Macaca fascicularis: one gene and its partners. The protein of the gene in region 2 interacts with the protein of the main gene of each other region in a pairwise test. Links are inferred from orthologs where the notes say so. Each region holds a gene or a part of one and is shown on either strand. Other genes may lie near its edges. The genes, in order: STK11, TNIP2 and NFKB1.

What was found.
Region 1: the proteins of TNIP2 (region 2) and STK11 interact in binary tests that used the Homo sapiens proteins (3 or more experiments, as listed by UniProt). The link is inferred for Macaca fascicularis from reciprocal best matches to the Homo sapiens genes TNIP2 and STK11.
Region 3: the proteins of TNIP2 (region 2) and NFKB1 interact in binary tests that used the Homo sapiens proteins (3 or more experiments, as listed by UniProt). The link is inferred for Macaca fascicularis from reciprocal best matches to the Homo sapiens genes TNIP2 and NFKB1.

Annotation. Positions count from the first base shown.
Region 1 is NC_088393.1:1,782,531-1,789,484, reverse strand, and holds the start of STK11 (serine/threonine-protein kinase STK11), read right to left. Parts: upstream 3,663-6,954; 5' UTR 2,517-3,662; coding exon 2,227-2,516; intron 1-2,226. UniProt on the Homo sapiens protein: Tumor suppressor serine/threonine-protein kinase that controls the activity of AMP-activated protein kinase (AMPK) family members, thereby playing a role in various processes such as cell metabolism, cell polarity, apoptosis and DNA damage response.
Region 2 is NC_088379.1:2,929,901-2,936,753, reverse strand, and holds the start of TNIP2 (TNFAIP3-interacting protein 2), read left to right. Parts: upstream 1-2,482; 5' UTR 2,483-2,559; coding exon 2,560-2,835; intron 2,836-6,853. UniProt on the Homo sapiens protein: Inhibits NF-kappa-B activation by blocking the interaction of RIPK1 with its downstream effector NEMO/IKBKG.
Region 3 is NC_088379.1:108,166,758-108,173,645, forward strand, and holds the start of NFKB1 (nuclear factor NF-kappa-B p105 subunit), read left to right. Parts: upstream 1-2,743; 5' UTR 2,744-3,198; intron 3,199-6,888.

The DNA of each region.
Region 1 (6,954 bases), on a different chromosome or scaffold from region 2:
CTGCCTCAGTGTTCCCTCCTGTTCTCCCATGCACTGGGCGAGACTGGGTTCCTGCAACCCTCTGGCCTGTCTCCACCAAGACCCTCAGGCTCCGCCCTACCATTCAGGTGCTCACCTGAGCTCCTGGGACCTCCTGCACTGACTGTTCAGGAAAGCAGGGGGCTCGCACTCACAGTTAGGCTTCCTCCCCCCAGCATCTGTCTTCCCTTTGACCTTGCATATACGTTTGTCAAAACTCAAACCAGACTTTTTTTTTTTTTTTTTTTTGAGACAGACTCTCGCTCTGTCTCCTAGGCTGGAATGCAATGGTGGGATCTCTGGTCACTGCAAGCTCCACCTCCCAGGTTCCAGCAATTCTTCTGGCTCAGCCTCCTGAGTAGCTGGGATTACAGGCATGCACCACCACACCCGGCTAACTTTTGTATTTTTAGTAGAGACGGGGTTTCACCACGTTGGCCAGGCTGGTCTCAAACTCCTACCTCAGGTGATCTGCCCACCTCAGCCTCCCGAAGTGCTGGGATTACAGGTGTGAGCCACTGTGCCCAACCCCTAAGGATGGGTTTCTGACTGCTAGGAGAGTGGCTATCACTGGCCCCTTTAGAGGGCACCTGCTACCCCCAGCACAGGCTCTGCCCAGCCCCTGACCAACCCATCTCACAGAGACCAGGCATGGGCAACTGCTCCACCTACTCCAGGCACTGGCCTTCTACCCGCGTCCAGACTGGGTGCTGAGATATCAGAAAGGCCTGGTGGAAACACGCCCCTCCCAGCCGCTCCCATTTAACCCCGACTGCTCCAGCTCCGGAGTACAAACTTCAGAGCCTGTGTCCCTGGTTTCTGCATGTCACAGCCCGCATGCTGATTAAGAAGCGTGTTGGCTAGTTGCGGTGGCTCACGCCTTTAATCCCAGCACTTTGGAAGGCTGAGGCGGGTGGATCACAAAGTCAGAAGTGCAAGACCAGCCTGGCCAAGATGGTGAAACCCTGTCTCTACTAAAAAAAAAACAAAAAATACAAAAATTAGCCAGGTGCAGTGGCAAGCGCCTGTAATCCCAGCTACTCGGGAGGCTGAGGCAAGACAATCACTTGAACCCAGGGGGCGGAGATTGCAGCGAGCCAAGATCGCACCACTGCACTCCAACCTGGGCAACAAGAGCGAAACTCTGGTCTCAAAAAAAAAAAAAAAAAAAAAAAAAGAAGTATGTGAGCCCCAGGGCCCCTGAGCAGGAGGGAGGTGAGAGCAGACAGGGCAGGGGCCCCTCCCCAGACCTCCTTCCAAGGTCATGGTGCCCTGTGCAGGGTGTCCCTGCCAGTCCCTCGAGGCCTAGCCCAGTAGATAAGGTCCTTTCTTGGAAACAGGAGGCAAAGTTATGAAAGTTAAGAGGGCTGGGAGAGGGGCAGGGCCTGGGCAGGGCCCGCCAGGCGACGGCAGGTGCAGCGTGTCTGGTTGCGATAAGGAAGGGACACCCCCCCCCCCACCAGCTGGGAGAGGCTCAGGCCGGCCCGTGCTGCCCTCGGTAGGAGCTTCTCCGCGCACAGATGCAGAGGCGTCCGGGATGCCCAGCGGCAGCCCCATGCCTGAAGAAGTCAGTTTGAAAAGTAAGGTCTTCCGGATGCAATTCGGGAGGGAGGCACAGTCCTCCTCGGGCAGGGCTGCCAGCGCTGGGGGCCAGGGATGCTTCCAGCGTCACATCCCTGGCAAATGAGGAAAGGCTACGTTTCCCTCCTGCTGGCTGATAAGCCAGTGCAGTTATTTTTGGCAGCCCAGGGTTCCCCTCCGACAGGATAAACAAATCACATTTTCTCCTGGCCCCGGCAACCGCCACACATTGCGCACAAAACCTGCTGGCGGCCGCACACAAACTCTCGGCGCCCAAATAAACACAGGCTCATTCCACTGGGCGCCTCTGCTCCTTGGACAGCTGGGGGAGCCACGGGGCTAGACTTAGGGGATTGGGGGCCGCTCCCTTCTCAGGAGGGTTTCGCTACCAGGGCGTCCATGCAGAAGAGCCCAAGCAAACACACGCCCCGCTACGACAACTGGCTCTGCCTGAGTGAAAGTCCGTAACGCAGGCCTCCGACCAAGCTCTCCCCGGCACGGAGGACACAGGCGCCGGCCGGGTCCAGCTTTGGGTGTTAAGAGGAAGTAAGGGAGGGAGGGAGGAGAGAAGGAAGGAAGACAGAACCATCCGCACAGTGACTGGCCTGCCCGGCAAGCCGTACTTACTTTTTCACGTTGGCCTCCCCGTTGGGGATCCTTCGTAACTTCTTCTTCTTGAGGATCTTGACGGCCCTCCTGCACAGCGTCTCCGAGTCCAGCACCTCCTTCACCTTGCCGTAAGAGCCTTCCCCCAGCAGGTCCCCCATCAGGTACTTGCCGATGAGCTTGGCCCGCTTGCGGCGCGGCTGGTAGATGACCTCGGTGGAGTCGATGCGGTGGATGAACGTGTCCATGCCCACCGACATCAGCTCGCCCTCCGTGAACATGCCCAGCTGCTGCGGGTCCACCACCTCCATGCTGGACCCAGGGTCCTGGAGTCCCGCCGCCAGCCCTGAGTCCGCGGGTGAGCGGTCCTTGTGTTCCGACTTCCCTTCTCCAAAATTTTACAAAGAAAAAAGAAAGAAAAAAAGGCAACAAAAACCCCAAAAGGAAGGGAAAAACCCTTCTTCCAACAGAAACGATTGTCCTACACGTCAGTCCCGGCTGCGAGTCCGAGCCCGGTGCAGGGTCTGCAGACCCGCGGGCACCGGGCGTCCGGGACGGCGGCTCAGACGCGAGTTGCAGTGGGTCCCGGGCCTCGGAACTGGGGAACGGCCCAGTCGGGGTCAACTTTGTCCTCGGAGGCCCTGGGGAGGCCGGCCGGGGCTTCTCAGTACTAGGTCATCCTCCGGGGACCTCAGGCCCACGGACAAGCGTGAACACGGCCAAGCGCGGTCTTCTCCGGGCCGCCCATCCCACAGGCGGCGTCCGCGACGTCGCTGCCCCCCGGGACCCCCACACCTGGAGAGCCCAACTTCCCTGGGGGTGTCTCCGGCGACGCCCGGGTCCCGCCGCCTGTCCCAGCCGCAAACGCTCCGCCGCGGACTACCGAGCGGACCTCCCGGGAGGCGCCGACTCCCGACGGCCCAGGCGAGCGTTCGGGGGGGGTGGGGGCGTCCGGGCAGCCTCCCGCCGCGGCCAACAGCTCCGCTCAGGGCTGGTCGCTGCCCGGCGCCCGCGAGGGCCCGCACTGGGCACCCCCCGAGCCGACCCGCGACCCCCGCGGTGGTCGCCGGGGCCAAGCAGGCGCCCCCTCCCCGCAAACGTCTGCCCGAGCGCGCGCCCCACCCCGAGTGCCCTCAGCGTCCGGTCCGCGGGACGGCGCGGCGGCGGGGGCTCCACGGGGCCCCGGGCGGCCGAAGCGGCACAGGCCGCAGGCTCCGGGGCGGGGGGTTCCCGAAGGTGCCGGGCCCCGGGCGGCGTGTCCCCCTCGCCGCGGCCGCCGCGCGTGTGGAGGAGGCGGAGCGGCGAGGGGGGCCCAGCCCATCCAAGGCCGCGGCAGCAAGTTCCGCCGCCCGCGCTCCCTTCGCCGCCCCGCGCCTCACTCGCGGGCGCTCCGGGCCGCCTCCCCCTTCCGCGCTCGACACGCCGCCGCCATCTTGTTTACCTCCCTCCCCCTCCCTGCGCCGCCGCGGACGCCGCACGCCCGGCCGCAGGACACGCCTCCTCGCGAGGACGACGTGTCCACCCGTTGGCTGAACCTGCAATCCCCGCCCCCCCTTCCCGCCCCACCGCCGCTGAGGATTGGAGCGTTTGGACCCGGCCGGGCGCCCGAACGGGGATTGGTCCGCGCTTGGCCCCGCCCGAGGGGTGGATACGGCCCGCTCATCGGCCCGCGGAGACGCCCGTCAGGGGCAGGGGGCGGGAAGCAGGCATAGGGAGGGGAGGCCACGGCTGCGACCTCAGAGGGGCTGGGGACGGGGGTCGTAGGTCACCGGTGCCAACGGCCTCGCTGAACGGCCGCGGGGAGGGCTCAGCCTGGTGGGCGAGAACTTGGGCTCGCGGACCTGGAAGGAGCGGGGCCACCCCAGCCAGAGCCCCTCCCCCGGATCCCCCTTTGGGGGGAGGTCAAGGGTCAAAAAGTAACCCAAAGTGGCCAATTCCAATCAAAAATCCTTGTTTTAAGGCTCTCTTGGGCCAGGGGAGAGAGAAACTCTCAGGGCGGCCTCTACCCTGTCGGAACTCATGGGGGAAGCCTCAGGACAGCGCTGGGACGAGCCCAGCGGGGGCTTCTGGTGAAAAACAAGAGTTGCCAAAATACGGCTTGATAAGGTTGAAAATATTGAACCCTCCTGTGCTAGCCCCGTGCTTTCCACCTTTTCCTGCACTAGCGCCACGTTGTTTTGCTGGAACAAATTATCTTGCTGCAACCTCCGCCTCCTAGGTTCAAGCGATTCTCCTGCCTTGGCTTCCCGAGTAGCTAGGATTACAGGCGTGCGCCATCATGCCCGGCTAATTTTTGTATTTTTAGTAGGGATTACAGATGCACGTCTGTAATCCCAACTACTCAGGAGGCTGAGGCAGGAGAATCGCTTGAACCTGGGAGGCGGAGGTTGCGGTGAGCCAAGATCATGCCATTGCACTACAGCCTGGGCAACAAGAGGGAAACTCCGTTTCAAAAAAAAAAAAAAAAAAAAGGTCTCTCCCAGAAAACAGAAGATGAGTAAACACTCCCCAGCCCAGACTTATTTTCATATCTGTTTTCTGGACTGATAGCTGGCTCATGCACAAACTTCTTGGAATCTGGGGATATGCTGGATAACTGTGGCATCCGTAGGTCCCACGCCCCTTCAGAGAATTGCAGGACACATGGAACTGACTCAGGAAATACTTGGTGGCCATTATAGAAAGAAGCCTTGAAGATGAATTCTTGGCTCAAAAGCCACCTCCTCCAAGAACCCCTCCTAGTGATTCTCTGAACTGCCTGGATGGAGATGTGCTGTGTAAACTACACACGGAATTTCTTTTCTTTTTTTTTTTTTTTGATATACATAATTTTATTACAAAATTTTTTAAAATGCAGCATCCTAAAAAACAAAAAAATTTACTACTGATACTAATTCCTACAAGTCTGGTGTGCTGCCATACACAAGACATTTTTAAAAACCCATTAAATGGCCGGGCGCGGTGGCTCAAGCCTGTAATCCCAGCACTTTGGGAGGCCGAGACGGGCGGATCACGAGGTCAGGAGATCGAGACCATCTTGGCTAACACAGTGAAACCCCGTCTCTACTAAAAAATACAAAAAACTAGCCGGGCGAGGTGGCGGGCACCTGTAGTCCCAGCGACTTGGGAGGCTGAGGCAGGAGAATGGCGCAAACCCGGGAGGCGGAGCTTGCAATGAGCTGAGATCCGGCCACTGCACTCCAGCCTGGGCGACAGCGCGAGACTCCCTCTCAAAAAAAAAAAAAACAAAACCCATTAAATATTTAGGGACATTACGCAGGTCGTGGTGGCTCACGCCTGTAATCCCAGCGCTTTGGGAGGCCAAGGCGGGTGGATCAGCTGAGCTCAAGAGTTCAAGACCAGCCTGGCCAACATGGTGAAACCCCATCTCTACTAAAAATACAAAGGTAGCCGGGCGTGGTGGCGCACGCCTGTAATCCCAGCCACTTGGGAGGCTGAAGCAGGAGAATCGTTTGAATCCGGGAGGCAGAGGTTGCAGTGAGCTGAGATTGTGGCATCACACTCCAGCCTGGGGGACAAGAGCAAGACTCTGTCTCAAAAAAATATATATATATATATTATACACACACACACACACACACAGGGACACTCAACATCAGAAGCTGTAAACTCTAACTGCATGTAGTAGCCCATTGAAAAACTACAACCTGCATCTTTTTTTTTTTTTTTTGAGGCGGAGTTTCGTTCTTGTTGCCCAGGCTAGGGTGCAATAGCGTGATCTCGGCTCACTGCAACCTCCTTCTCCAGGGTTCTAGTGATTTTCCTGCCTCAGCCTCCCAAGTAGCTGGGATTACAGGCACCCACCACCACGCCTGGCTCTCTTTTTTTTTTTTTTTTTTTTTTTTGTATTTTTAGTAGAGACAGGGTTTCACTGTGATGGTCAGGCTGGTCTCAAACTCCCGACCTCAGCTGATCTGCTGACCTCGGCCTCCCAAAGTGCTGGGATTACAGGCATGAGCCACCACACCCGGCCAACCTGCGTGTTTAAAAAGTATTTTCTCAGGCTGGGTACTGTGGCTCATGCCTGTAATCCCAGCACTTTGGGAGGCCGAGGCGGGCAGATCACAAGGTCAGGAGTTTGAGACCAGCCTGGCCAACATGGTGAAACCCCGTCTCTACTAAAAATACAAAAATTAGCCGGGTGTGGTGGCACACGCCTGTAATCCCAGCTACTTGGGAGGCTGAGGCAGGAGAACTGCTTGAACCAGGACCTGGGAGGCAGAGGTTGCCATGAGCCGAGATCACCCCATTGCACTCTAGCCTGGGCAACAAGAGTGAAACTCTGTCTCAAGTATTTTCTCTAAAGAGAATCTTATCAGCTATACAAAAACCTGTAGAGTTTTATACTGAAGCTAATACTGAACTACACTTGAATTCACATTCTTAGCAAAACACGCACACTGCACAGGCATCATTACAGGGTAGCCATTTATTCTTCATCTTCAACCTCTTCCTCGTCATCTTCATCTTCCTCCTTATCTTCATCTTCCTCCTCCTCCTCCTCCTCCTCTTCTGGTTTGTTCTTCTTCTTTGAGCCCTTCTTTCCTGCTTCAGTTTTGCCCTTGGCACGATATGCAGCAATACCCTTTTCATATCTCTCCTCTAGCTTTAGCTGCTTTCTGTTCACATGGTTGTTTATCTTTGGCCGACTGCCCAGACCACATTTCACCCAGTTTCTTTGCAGTTTCCCCGACGAATAGGCCTGGGTGTCCACTTCTGATCTTTGGG
Region 2 (6,853 bases):
GCTTCAAACAACAATAAGCACATATTATCTCATCCAGTTTCTGTGGTCAGGAACTCAGGGGCAGTTTCGCTAGGTGGTTCTGGTCCAGGGTCTCCCATGGAGTCACAGTCAGTATGTCGGTGGGGACTACTGTCTTCTGAAGGCTTGACTAGCATCAGGGGATACAGTCCCAAGGTGGCTTCTTCACCGCAGTGGGCAAGTGGGTGCCGGCTGCTGCCATGAAGCCTCAGTTCCTTGCCACATGGACCTCTTCACAGGGCTACTTGACGATAGGGTGGGCGGCTTCCCCCAGAGCTCCGAAAGACGGGCAAGGCAGTAGCCATGATGTCTCGTGGGAGCTAGCTGCAGAAGTCACACTCCATCATTCCTCCAGTACCCTCTTAGTTACACAGGTCAGGCCTCTCCAGTGGATTGGAGGGGACTACACAGGAGCATGGATATTGGAGCGGGGGGGTCCTCTTTGGAGGCTGGCTACCCCAGTTATATGTACCTATTTGAAATCCAAAGATCCTCATTTCTAAAATACACCTGGCGGCCTGGCGTGGTGGCTTATGCCTAGAATCCCAGCACTTTGGGAGGCTGAGGCGGGCGGATCACTTGAGGCCAGGAGTTCGAGACCAGCCTGACCAAAATGGTGAAACCCCGTCTCTACTAAAAATACAAAAAATTAGCCAGGCGTGGTGGCGGGTGCCTGCAATCCCAGCTAATTGGGAGGCTGAGGTGGGAGAATCGCTTGAACCTGGGAGGCGGAGGTTGCAGTGAGCCGAGATCATGCCACTGCACTCTAGCCTGAGCGGCAGATTAAGACTCCGTCTAAAATAAATAAATAAATAAATAAATACAAGACAAGACAATACACCTGATCCCAAGGCTGTTGGATGAGAGACTGTGGATTGTAAAATGCACCTTTTACAGTTGAGGCAGAGTCTCAAGGTCACTGGAATGACCTGCCCCAGGCCACACATTAGCCTCTAACAGCTCTGGGTCCAGTTTTGCTTTTTCCACCGGTGCCCCAGCCAATCAGTTGGCATTGTTCGTAACCATAGCCACGTGAACTGTGGGCTTGCCGGGCAGCAGCCACTGCACTGGACAAGCGTTTCATGCACACTCCACCCTCTAGTCCCCACAACGTCCAACCAGGTAGGGTGGGCACTCGCTCTGCCCTTCCTTCTGCTGAGAGGAAGCCCAGGCTCTGATGGGTAAGAAGGAGCCTTCCAAAGCAAAGCCAGGTCTGTGTAGCCCAATGTCCAGGCCATAAACACTTGCCTGGCTCTGGCTTTGCTTATAGGCTTGTCTGATTCTACAAGCTTGTGGGTGTTTTCCCAGGCTCAGCCCAGGCTTGGCTGTGGATCACATAAAGGAAGAAAGTCAAGATGCTGCTCAGGGGCGGAGCCTGTGGGCAAGCGCGCACACAGGGAAGACCCCTGCCCGATCCCGAGTCGGGAACCTTAGAAAGACCCCATGTGTGCTTGGGCATCATTGTGGGGAAGACTGGGCTGTGGAAAAACACTAGTGTTTGGGAATTTTGGGGAAGGAAAGCGATGGACAAGTGAAAGGGTGGGAAGGGGCTGGTTTCCTGCTGCCTCTGCTCTAAGAACACTATCTAGCAGGAAGGTTGTCCCGCGGGCCCATACTAGCCACCTCACAAAGCAGCGTCTGCGGTGGCTCACGCCTGTAATCCCAGCACTTAGGGAGGCCGAGGCCAACGGATCATCTGAGGTCAGGAGTTCAAGACCAGCCTGGCCAACATGGTGAAACACCATCTATACAAATAATACAAAAAAATTAGCCGGGCGTGGTGGCGGGCGCCTGTAATCCCAGCTACTTGGGAGGCTGAGGCAGGAGAATCGCTTGAACCCGGGAGGCGGAGGTTGCAGTGAGCCGAGATCGCGCCATTGCAGTCCAGCCTGGATGACAGAGCAAAAGTCGTCTCATTTAAAAAAAAAAAAAAAAGGAAAGGAAAAAGAAAGCGGCGAGTGGAGCAGGGGGTTGGAGCTCTCTCTGAACTCAGTGTCCCCAGGTGACGAAACGCATGACACGTGCTTGGTGCGCTGCGAGCTCAGCTCAGCTCCTGGAGTTTCTGTGGCTCCTGTGGCCACAACGCCTGCAGCCTCGCGGGCAGATTCAGACCCACACTCAGCCCCAGCGCTTGGGGCTTGTCTTTACGCCCTTCTTTCCATCAGAGGCTGATGAATTCCCAACCCTGGGCCATGGGCTGAGTTCGACTCTCCCACAACTCCTCAGAGGCGCGTGTTTGGGGCCACTGGAATAAGCCCAGCACGAGCTGGGGTGTGGACAGCCTCCGGGGCAAGGCCGACTCTCCTGGGCTGCTGCGGACGGCAGGGGCGGGGCCGGGCTGTCGGCGGTAGGAGGGGCGGGGCCGGGCGAGAAGGGTCGGGGTGGGCTGCCGTTGGGCGGGGCTGCGCGGCGGAGGGCGGGGCCGGGCTGCGGTGGGTGGGCGGGGCGCACCGGGGAAAGTTCCGGGAAGGGCGGCAGCCGGCGGGGCCTGGGCGCGGAAGTTGCCGGCGGCCGCGCGGCCTCCCGGGCAGGCTTACAGCCATGTCCCGGGACCCGGGGTCGGGCGGCTGGGAGGGGACCCCGCGCGCAGCCGCCGCGCTCTGCACCCTGTACCACGAGGCCGGACAGCGGCTGCGCCGCCTGCAGGACCAGCTGGCCGCCCGCGACGCCCTCATCGCTCGCCTCCGCGCCCGCCTGGCCGCGCTGGAGGGGGACACCGCGCCGTCCCTGGTGGACGCGCTGCTGGAGCAGGTTGCGCGCTTCCGGGAGCAGCTTCGGCGGCAGGAGGGCGGCGCCGCAGAGGCCCAGATGCGCCAGGTACGAGGGCGGGCACCAGAGGGGCTGCGGGCGCCAGAGTGCGTGTGGCGGCCGCCGGGTCTTGGGTGGGTGAGCGGGCCCCGGGTCCTGACGGGTTGAGGGAGCACCAGGTGCTGGGTGTGAGGGGCCTGGGAAGTGAGGGGGTGCCGGGTCCTGGGTGGGTCAGCGGGCCCCGGGTCTTGAGGGGTTGAGGGAGTACCGGGTCCTGGGGTTGAGCGCGCCCGGGGTCCTGAAGGGTTGAGGGGCCACCAGGTCCTGGGGGATTGAGGGGGTGCTAGGTCCTGGAGTTGAGGGGGCACCAGGTCCTGGGGGATTGAGGGGGTACCGGGTCCTGGGGTTGAGGGGGTACCAGGTCCTGGGGGGTGAGGGGGCCCTGGAGGGTGAGGCAGCCACGGTGGGTGAGGGGGCCACAGGTCTTGGTGGGGTGAGGGGGCTCTGGGTTTTGAGGGGGTTGAGGAAGTGCTGGGTCCTAGGGAGTGAGGGGTGCTGGGTCCTGGGGCGGAGAGGGGGCACTGGGTCCTGGGGGTGATAGGGCAACAGGTCTTGGAGGGTGAGGGGACCCTGGGTCCTAGGGGAGAGACGGGGACCAGGTCCTGAGAGGGGTAATGGGACACCACGGGCTGAGGTGTGCTGGGTCCTGGAGGGTGAAGGGGTGCCGGGTCCTGGGGGGTTTGAGGGGGGACCAGGTCCTGGTGGAGGTGAGGGGGCTCTGGGGCCTGGAGGGGGTGAGGGTGCCAGGTTCTGAAGGGGATAAAGGAATGCTGGAAACTGGGAGGTTGGGAGGGCACTGGGTCCTGGGGGATTGGTGAGGAGGAGGCGGCCCTGGGTTCTGAGGAGGGGGGTTGGTGCAGTTCTTGGGTTCTGTGTGTGCTGTGTAGGTTCAGGTTGGTTCTTAGGGGTGTTTTGAAGTTCGTGTGTGGGAACACATTCTGAGGGTTGTGTGTGTGTAGTGTGTATGCTGTGTGTGTGTGTGTGTGTAGTGTGTATGTTCCGGTTGGTTCTTAGGGGTGTTTTGAGGTGTGTGTGGAGGAGACACATTCTGAGGGGTGTGTATGGTGTGTATGGTGTGTGTGTGTGTATGGTGTGTGTGTATGGTGTGTATTATGGTGTGTACGGTGTGTGTGTGTATGGTGTGTGTGTATTATGGTGTGTATGGTGTGTGTGTATGGGGGGTGTGTGTGTATGGTGTGTATGGTGTGTGTGTATGGTGTGTGTGTATTGTGTGTATGGTGTGTATGTGTATGGTGTGTGTGTATTATGGTGTGTATGGTGTGTGTGTGTATGGGGTGTGTGTGTGTATGGTGTGTATGGTGTATATGGTGTGTGTGTGTATGGTGTGTGTGTATTGTGTGTATGGTGTGTGTATGGGGTGTGTGTGTATGGTGTGTATGGTGTGTGTTTGTATGGGGTGTGTGTGTATGGTGTGTATGGTGTATGGTTTGTATGGTGTGTGTGTGTATGGGTGTGTGTATGGTGTGTATTGTGTGTGTATGGTTGTGTGTATGGTGTGTGTGTATGGTGTGTGTGTATGGTGTGTGTGGTGTGTGTGTATGGTGTGTGTGTGTATGGTGTGTGTGTATGGTGTGTATGGTGTGTGTGTATGGTGTGTATGGTGTGTATGGTGTGTGTGTATGGTGTGTGTGTATGGTGTGTATGGTGTGTGTGTGTATGGTGTGTGTGTATGGTGTGTGTATGGTGTGTATGGTGTATATGGTGTGTGTGTGTATGGTGTGTGTGTATGGTGTGTATGGTGTGTATGGTGTGTGTGTATGGTGTGTGCGTATGGTGTGTATGGTGTATATGGTGTGTGTGTGTATGGTGTGTGTGTATTGTGTGTATGGTGTGTGTATGGGGTGTGTGTGTATGGTGTGTATGGTGTGTGTATGGGGTGTGTGTGTGTATGGTGTGTATGGTGTATGGTGTGTATGGTGTGTGTGTATGGTGTGTATTGTGTGTGTATGGTTGTGTGTATGGTGTGTGTGTGTATGGTGTGTGTGTGTGGTGTGTGTGTATGGTGTGTGTATGGTGTGTGTGTATGGTGTGTATGGTGTGTGTGTATGGTGTGTGTGGTGTGTGTGTATGGTGTGTATGGTGTGTGTATGGTGTGTGTATGGTGTGTGTGGTGTGTGTGTATGGTGTGTGTGGTGTGTGTGTATGGTGTGTGTGGTGTGTTTGTGTATGGTGTGTATGGTGTGTGTATGGTGTGTATGGTGTGTGTGTATGGTGTGTATGGTGTGTGTGTGTATGGTGTGTGTGTGTATGGTGTGTATGGTGTGTGTGTGTATGGTGTGTGTGTATGGTGTATATGGTGTGTGTGTATGGTGTGTGTGTGTATGGTGTGTATGGTGTGTGTGTGTATGGTGTGTGTGTATGGTGTATATGGTGTGTGTGTATGGTGTGTATGGTGTGTGTAGGGTGTGTGTGGTGTGTGTGTATGGTGTGTGTGTGTATGGTGTGTATGGTGTGTATGGTGTGTGTGGATGGTGTGTGGATGGTGTGTATGGTGTGTGTGTATGGTGTGTATGGTGTGTGTGTGTATGGTGTGTGTGTGTATGGTGTGTGTGTATGGTGTGTATGGTGTGTGTGTATGGTGTGTGTATGGTGTGTGTGTGTATGGTGTGTGTGTATGGTGTGTATGGTGTGTGTGCATGGTGTGTGTGTATGGTGTGTGTATGGTGTGTGGTGTGTGTGTACGGTGTGTGTGTATGGTGTGTATGGTGTGTGTGTATGGTGTGTGTGTATGGTGTGTGTGTATGGTGTATATGATTGTGTGTGTATGGTGTGTATGGTGTGTGTGTATGGTGTGTGTGTATGGTGTATATGATTGTGTGTGTATGGTGTGTATGGTGTGTGTGTATGGTGTGTGTATGGTGTGTGTGTGTATGCTGTGTGTATGGTGTGTGTATGGTGTGTATGGTGTGTGTGTATAGTGTATATTGTGTGTGTGTATGGTGTGTATGGTGTGTGTGTGTATGATGTGTGTGTATGGTGTGTGTATGTGTGTGTATGGTGTGTGTGTGTATGGTGTGTATGGTGTGTGTGTGTATGGGTGTATGGTGTGTGTGTATGGTGTGTGTGTATGGTGTGTGTGTATGGTGTTTATGGTGTGTGTGTATAGTGTGTATGGTGTGTGTGTATGGTGTTTATGGTGTGTGTGTATGGTGTGTATGGTGTGTGTGTATGTGTGTGTATGGTGTGTGTGTGTATGGTGTGTGTGTATGGTGTGTGTGTGTATGGTGTGTATGGTGTGTGTGTGTGTATGGTGTGTATGGTGTGTGTGTGTGTATGGTGTGTGTGTGTGTGTATCGTGTATATGGTGTGTGTATGGTGTGTATGGTATATATGTGTGTATGGCATGTGTGTATGGTGTGTGTGTGTAGTGTTTATGGTGTGTGTGTGTATGGTGTGTGTGTGTATGGTGTGTGTATGGTGTGTGTGTGGTGTGTGTGTGTGTATGGTGTGTGTATGGTGTGTATGTGTGTATGGTGTGTGTGTGTGTATGGTGTGTGTGTGTATGGTGTATATGGTGTTTATGTGTATGGTGTGTGTGTATGGTGTGTGTATAGTGTGTGTGTATGGTGTGTGTGTGTATGGTGTGTGTATAGTGTGTGTGTATGGTGTGTGTGTATGGTGTGTGTATTGTGTGTATGTGGTGTGTGTGTGTATGGTGTGTGTGTATAGTGTGTATGGTGTGTGTATGGTGTGTGTGTGTGCACATATGTGTATCTTGGGTCCAAGGTCAATGTACTCATATTGTGTTCTAGAGTCCCTTACAGCCCTCACCCATACATGTGTCTTTCACTAGTGGCGCTTCAACTCTATGCTGGGAGCAATGGCAAATGCAGCCCCTGTGTCTGATAATGGACACAAATCCTAGGCTGGGTGCAGTGGCTCACACCTGTAATCCCAGCACTTTGGGAGGCCAAGGTGGGTGGGTCACAAGGTTGGGAGATCGAGACCATCCTGACTAACACGGTGAAACCCCGTGTCTACTAAAAATACAAAAAAGTAGCCAGGC
Region 3 (6,888 bases), about 110 Mb from region 2:
ACAGTATAACTTGTCTTTTAGACAATATTGATGCCTGAAATTCCACATTGAGGCATTTTTTTTCTCTTCATAGCCTGATAATGGTAAATACCTTCTGACACTTTAGGATGGATGAATTTGTAAGAAATATTCCTGGAAGCAGATTTGTACAGAGTATAGAGAAAACGTTGGGTAACAAAGCAGGAACGGAGGAGGGTTAATCAGCGAGCCAAAAAGAGTAAACTGAAGGCTTTTACAGTTTTATCTGCTGTGCTGCATGGAATTACATCCCCCCAAAACGTATGTTCAAGTCCTAACCACAGGTACCCGTGAACATGAGTTTATTTGGAACTACGATCTTTGCAAATGTTATCAAGTTAAGATGAGGTAATACTGGATTGGGGTGGGCTCTAAATCCAATGACTGGTGTCTTCATAAAAGAAAGGTGAGGGAGATTTGAATATAGGGACACAAAGGAAACACAGGGAAGGAGACCATGTGACCATGTAGGCACAGAATGAAGTGTTGCACCCAAGCCAAGAATGGCAAGGATTGCTGGAGCCACCAGAAGCTAGGAGGCGGCAAAGGATTCCTCCCTAGAGTCTTCAAGGGAGCATGGCCTTGATGGCACCTTGAGTTCAGAATTTTAGGCTCCAGGACTGTGACAGAATAAATTCCCATTGTAAGTCATTCAGCCGGTGGTAACTTTTTACAGCAGCCCCAGGAAACTAACATGCCTGCTCAACACCCTACCCTCAATTTTAAGTTCATTTTATGGAATCATTTTGAGTTTGGAGTCTGATTTAATCCCTTTCAGTAATTAACACTCTTCATTTTTTACCCCCAAATATGTCACACTGGCTCTACTCTTGTAACAATTCTATTTACCTATCTTTTGGTAATGGGGCTGCCACTCCTTGCAGAATGAAAAGTAGAGCGTGTATGCTCATACCTCCCAAAGTGGGGGAAAATCCACACCCCTTACACTTTGTTTCATGGGAACTTGCAGACTTCTTACTCATGTCACTGGCAAAAATCATTTTACATAAACTATATTTCAATCTCCTATACTATTGGCATAATTTCTAATCTGTCCCATAAATAACAACACATAATTTCTTTCTTTCTTTTTGAGAAGGAGTCTCGCTCGGTCTCGCCCAGGCTGGAGTGCAGTAGCACAATCTCGGCTCACTGCAACCTCTGCCTCCGGAGTTCAAGCGATTCTCCTGCCTCAGCCTCCCAAGTAGCTGGGATTACAGGCGCCTGCCACCAAGCCCGGCTAATATTTTGTATTTTTAGTAGAGACGGGGTTTCCCCATATTGGTCAGGCTGGTCTCCAACTCCTGACCTCAGGTGATCCACCTGCCTCGGCATCCCAAAGTGCTGGGATGACAGGCGTGAGCCACCGCACTCGGCCCACAAAATTTCTTAAAAAGTCGTTGTGTTCAGTCTTTATGGATCCTCTGAATTCCACCTGCTCAGCCTCCAGGAGCTAAATGAGATCGCTTAAAGGTCAACTGTTGGGTGCCTCCAAGGTCGCCCCAGAGGCTCCTGTCATAGGCAATCAAATGAATCTCTGTTTTTACTTTTGGTTGTGCGCGTATGTGTGGTTTTTTTGTTTGTTTTGTTTTGTTTTTTGTTTTTGCCAGAAAAACACTCCACCAAGAAGGTTTTTATAACCTAGTGGAGGAGGAGGACGGAGAGTGGGCACAAAACGACTAGGATGAACATGCTATAAGGAATCTGAATGCCACTGCACTATTGCCTGGTAAGGACCTGATTACCGATATTTTAAAGCTAAGCTTTCAGTTGTCACTCGACCCACTAGTGAAACAATGAGCTCTAAAATATATGTTTCAGCTCAAGATTTCTTATGTGGGGAGGTAATGCAACCCAAGGTATCCCCAGCCTGTGCCTAGTACAGCGCCCAGCACTAAAGCAGCTCAGATGCCAGTGAACGGTGGTCACTGGCAGGCCTGTCAATGGGTGCCAGTAGCGGTCTCTTCAGAGAAAAAGAAAACTCCCCTCTGCCAGATCAGTATTTTATGAGCTGTAAACCAAAACCATTGCTACCACCATCACTATAATTCTATCCACAGTAATTATCATAAAGGCCTAACAATGCCTTGTAGATGAATATTGAGTAACTGCCCTATAACGAGGATATTTAAGACCGCACCAAAAACCAGTAGAGGGTTATACTTTACTGGACACAAGTCGGTTATGATAACGAAATTCTAGTTTAATCTGTGAAGAGATCTGAATGTAACCGAGACACATTTAAATGGAATATACAGATGAGCTTTATTTTTATATCTGGCATGCTTGGATCCATGCCGACCCTCCAGCTGCTCGGGCCTGCCCTTAGGGGCTATGGACCGCATGACTCTATCAGCGGCACCGCCGCCGCCTCCGCGCCGCCTGTGTTCCCGGACCACTGGGCCCGGCTGGCGCTTCCTGGGGGCGTCCCTACCGGCTCCAGCCCTCGGGATTTGGGAGCGCCCGGCTAGGAAGCCAGAGTCACGCCGGGGATCCCGGCGTCCAGGCCGCCTAACGCGCGCCCCTCGCCCGGCGCCCCGAAGCGGCCCCGAGGGGCGGGAGCCCAACCGAGCAACGAGGCCGGGCCGGGGGCGCACGGCCCCCAAAAGTGCGGGCTTCCCCCACCCCCGGCAGCGACCCCACCTCCCGCCCCCGCTGCGTGCGCGCGTGTGTCCGTCTGTCTGTATGCTCTCTCGACGTCAGTGGGAATTTCCAGCCAGGAAGTGAGAGAGTGAGCGAGAGAGAAAGAGAGAGAAGTGCACCAGCTAGCCGGGGCAGGAAGAGGAGGTTTCGCCACCGGAGCGGCCCGGCGACGCGCTGACAGCTTCCCCTGCCCTTCCCGTCGGTCGGGCCGCCAGCCGCCGCCGCCCTCGGCCTGCACGCAGCCGCCGGCCCCGCTCCCGGAGCCCAGCGCCGCCGAGGCCGCAGCCGCCCGGCCAGTAAGGCGGCGCCGCCGCCCGGCCACCGCGCGCCCTGCGCTTCCCTCCGCCCGCGCTGCGGACATGGCGCGGCGCTGACTGGCCTGGCCCGGCCCCGCCGCGCTACCGCTCGCCCCGACCCGCACCCGGGCCCGCTCGGGCTCCGGCCGGCCACCGCCTCTTCCCTCTCCAGCCCGCAGGCCCGCGCCGCCCAGGAGGGAGAGACCTGCGCCAGGAGGCCGAACGCGGACTCGCCACCAGGGTAAGCCAAACTCGGGCGAGTGGGGGCCCGGCAGGGGACGCGTGGCTCGAGTCCCGCCATCCAGCTCTCCGCACCCCCTCCAGCCCCACTCGGACTTCCTCATTCCTGCGCTAACCGCTGGGCTAGACCGTGGGAGGAGGTTGACAGTAGTGAGAGGCACATGGGATTGGCGACAGCGGGGTAAGGCACATCCGGACCTCGCAGGGGCTAGTCGGCCGAAGGGCCGTGGCTGCCCGGCGCTCATTTCTCTTCACGTCCCTCCGCGGGGTGGGAATGCGAATCGGAGGGGAACTCTTACAAACTTTTAAAATCCCCCAACCCCAGCCCCAGCTGGGGGATAGTGAGAAGGTTGAGGTGCGCTGCGGCGCGGAGGAGAGAGGGAAGGTGGTTGGTGCAGTGCAGAACCAGATTTCACCTAAGGGCGTTCCATGAAATGAAAGAAGAAGTGCTTGTCAGTCCTCCTGGCAGGGAAAGCCCTCTCCAGCTCCCCAGAATTGAATAGGAGAGTCTATTCATCCCTCTCCTACTTCTAAAAGAAGCCTGGCCCTCTCTCTGTCTCTTTTTCTCTCCCTCCCCCCACCCCTCCGTACACACACACACACACACACACACACACACACACACACACACACGATATAGTCACCTGCTATAGGACTTGATTCTGATCCTCTGGGGCCTGGCATTTGAGAGAGAAAATAAATTACCTAGTTGGATACTTAGAGCACTTTTTAGACTTGATTATGTAAAATTCTTGGACAGTGCCACCATGTATTATGCATGACTTCTGAAACAAAAACAATGTAAAAACAAAGCCTATCCTAAATGTAAGTTTTTCTATGGTCCTTAAAAACAGACACCAGGGAATGTTTGCCCTGACTTACTGGTCTATCCTGAAACTGAAATGGGACTTAATGATACAGGATTTAATTATCAAGATTTGAGACATTTTCATGGACTTTGTTAAGTAGAGGTTTTCAGCATTACAGTTTATGAAATAACCATATTTAACTCAAAGATTTTGTTATAAAGCTTATAATCTGAAAAAATGCTTATGGTATTACTAGAACATTTAATAACTCTGGCATCAAAATATTCTACACACTGGTGATCTTTAGTAAATACTAAAGGTTAGGGTCAAGATGTTCAATAATTTTCTTCTAGCAGAATCCCACAACTGAATATTGTCAAGCAGTTTAAACTGCATTCGTGTTTGTTAAAACTTTAAAAGGGAAACTTAAAATTGAAGTATGTTGTTTTTCTGATTTTAATTTTGTGCTTTCTAGAGATGAATCCTTTTACTGCTTGAGGCACTATGGGAATTATGTGTTTAAATGTATGTATTTAAATTTGAAGCAGTGTACTTTTTTCAGTTTATAAACTTGGGAAGACAGGAAATGAAAAGATTTATTTCCTGTAGAATTTTACGTTCATGATTTAATTGAATTGCTGAAATGAAAAGAACATATACGATGAATGGAGACTTGGAATCTGAGATTATTCATCCATATTGATACACCTGCAATTCCTAAATGCCCTCCCCTGCTTGTTTAGATAAAATGTCTTCCTGGTCTGCAACCTACTGGACAAACTTGAACACAAAGGAACACACGTTTTATGTACATTTAATACTGGAACCGAAAAGCTGCTTGCAGTGAAAAGCAAACCACTTCTAAACTCTTTGACACTTTTTAAGGAAAATAGTATAATCGTTTTGGGGTTGGTGGTGATTTGAAAATCTTTTATCTTTTTTTCTGAAATTTCATTCTTACGTTCGTCGTTGGCACTCACTTGTGCTGAGTAAATGCCCCTGTTTTTCAAACCCAGATAGTAAATACTGGGGTATACATACAAAAATAGTCCTTCCCCTTTGTAAGCATTGCTTTGATCTTTGCACTTCCTTTTTACTCTACCTCTTAAACAAGATCTGTGATGACTGAGTTGATTAAAGCACAATTAATCTTGAAATAGGAAGAATTTTAGATTTAGTGATCATATTCCTTACATTTCTGTTGTTACTGTTCCTGGAAACAAATTGAAGTAGTGTGAGAAACTAATTATTTATGTAGGTTGTTTTAGCTACACTTTTAGACTTGCAGATAATTGATTAAGTAAGTTACTACCTTGACTTTCAGGGATTGCTCATTGTGGTAGATACGAGGTCTAGATAGGGAATTGGCAGCTACATGAATGTTGGACTATCATTCCATCAGCAAGACCTTATTTTTACCTAATTTATGAGAGGTATTTCTCTCTTCAGAAGAGGTGAAAGTTCTGGCTTCTGAGGGGAAGTGATTACTTCATAACCTTCAATTGGTTTGAACTTGGGAGAAGTAAGAAAAGTAGTCGATATTTTCAAACAATAAAATAATTGTGTCTGAGTTGCTGTATGGATTTTTCATGAAGTACTCAAAAATGTCATCTTTTTCATCTTCAGGTCTTAATAGATGTGCTCTTCTGAGCATAGAATTGACTGCAGTAGGAAGTGTATCTGGAAATGCACAGTACTGTTGTATAACCAATAGAGTAAATACTCAGATTATGCGCTTCTAGTCCACAGATTGATCAGAAATCACATTAACAGGAATGGATGTCTATGAATGAATGGCTATGCAAAATTTCTCATTAGCTTTTTTACTTTTAGTAGGAAGTTTGTTTTATTTGGTTGGTCTCTTGGTTTTCTGTTTACAATGTGAATTGTCTACAGTAGTGGGATTGTTATATTAGAAGAGAAGGAGAAGGCAAAATAGAAGTTAGTGCCAGAGGATATGTTAAGATATGCTGCTCCTACATCTACGTTTGTGTCTAATCAGCGTTAATTGATGACTACGTCTTGGTAACCAGTAGACCATACTGGAGCAATTTACTCTGCTTTTTGGGAATTAGTTCTCATTTGCACTCTTGCACTTCCCATGAATATTGAACTCACTTGCAGTGTTCTTAGAGGTGAGCAATAAACCATCAAGAGCATATGATATCTCTTTGAATTCTGTCACTACTTTGGAGACAGAGAGTTTGGAAGAACTGAAGCTACTCAGCCTCAGGGAGAAAGGTTTGAACATTTTGGCATAGTCCTGCAAGTCAATTTGGCTCCTTGACTGTGAATTTTTTTTAATCAAAAAAGATTAATATTTGAAACCACATAATTTGGTACAGTTAATAGTTCTGGTAACATAACCAAGCCTTTTATCTTTGTAATATTTCATTAATTAGTATCCAGTGCCTCACTTTTAGAAGAAAAAAAGAGAAAAAAGTAGTTAACATTCTTTTAATGATGATGAAATTGCTTCATACTTTTGGTCTCTGCTGTATTAGAGGTTGTTCCTGGGTGCAAATTAATATACTGTCTTTTACATTTCCGGAGGTTGTTGACCTGGCCTTGAAGATCAGCCAACAGTTTAGAAAATAAGTTGTGCAAATTGCATTGCTTCACCTCAGATAATTTAAAGCCTGACAGTTCTGTATAAAATAAGAGTCACATAAGATGCAATTTGTTAAAGATTATAGAAATCTCAGAAGATAGATTATGGATGAAAATATTTGTTTAATTTCGAGTACTAATAATAAAAATAGTGCATTTTACATTTTAAAAAGAAAACAATTTTTATTCTCATATTTTCTGTAGTAACTAATACAGATTTAATTATCAATAATACAAATTTCATCTGCTTTAATTTATTGCCTGTTTTTGAA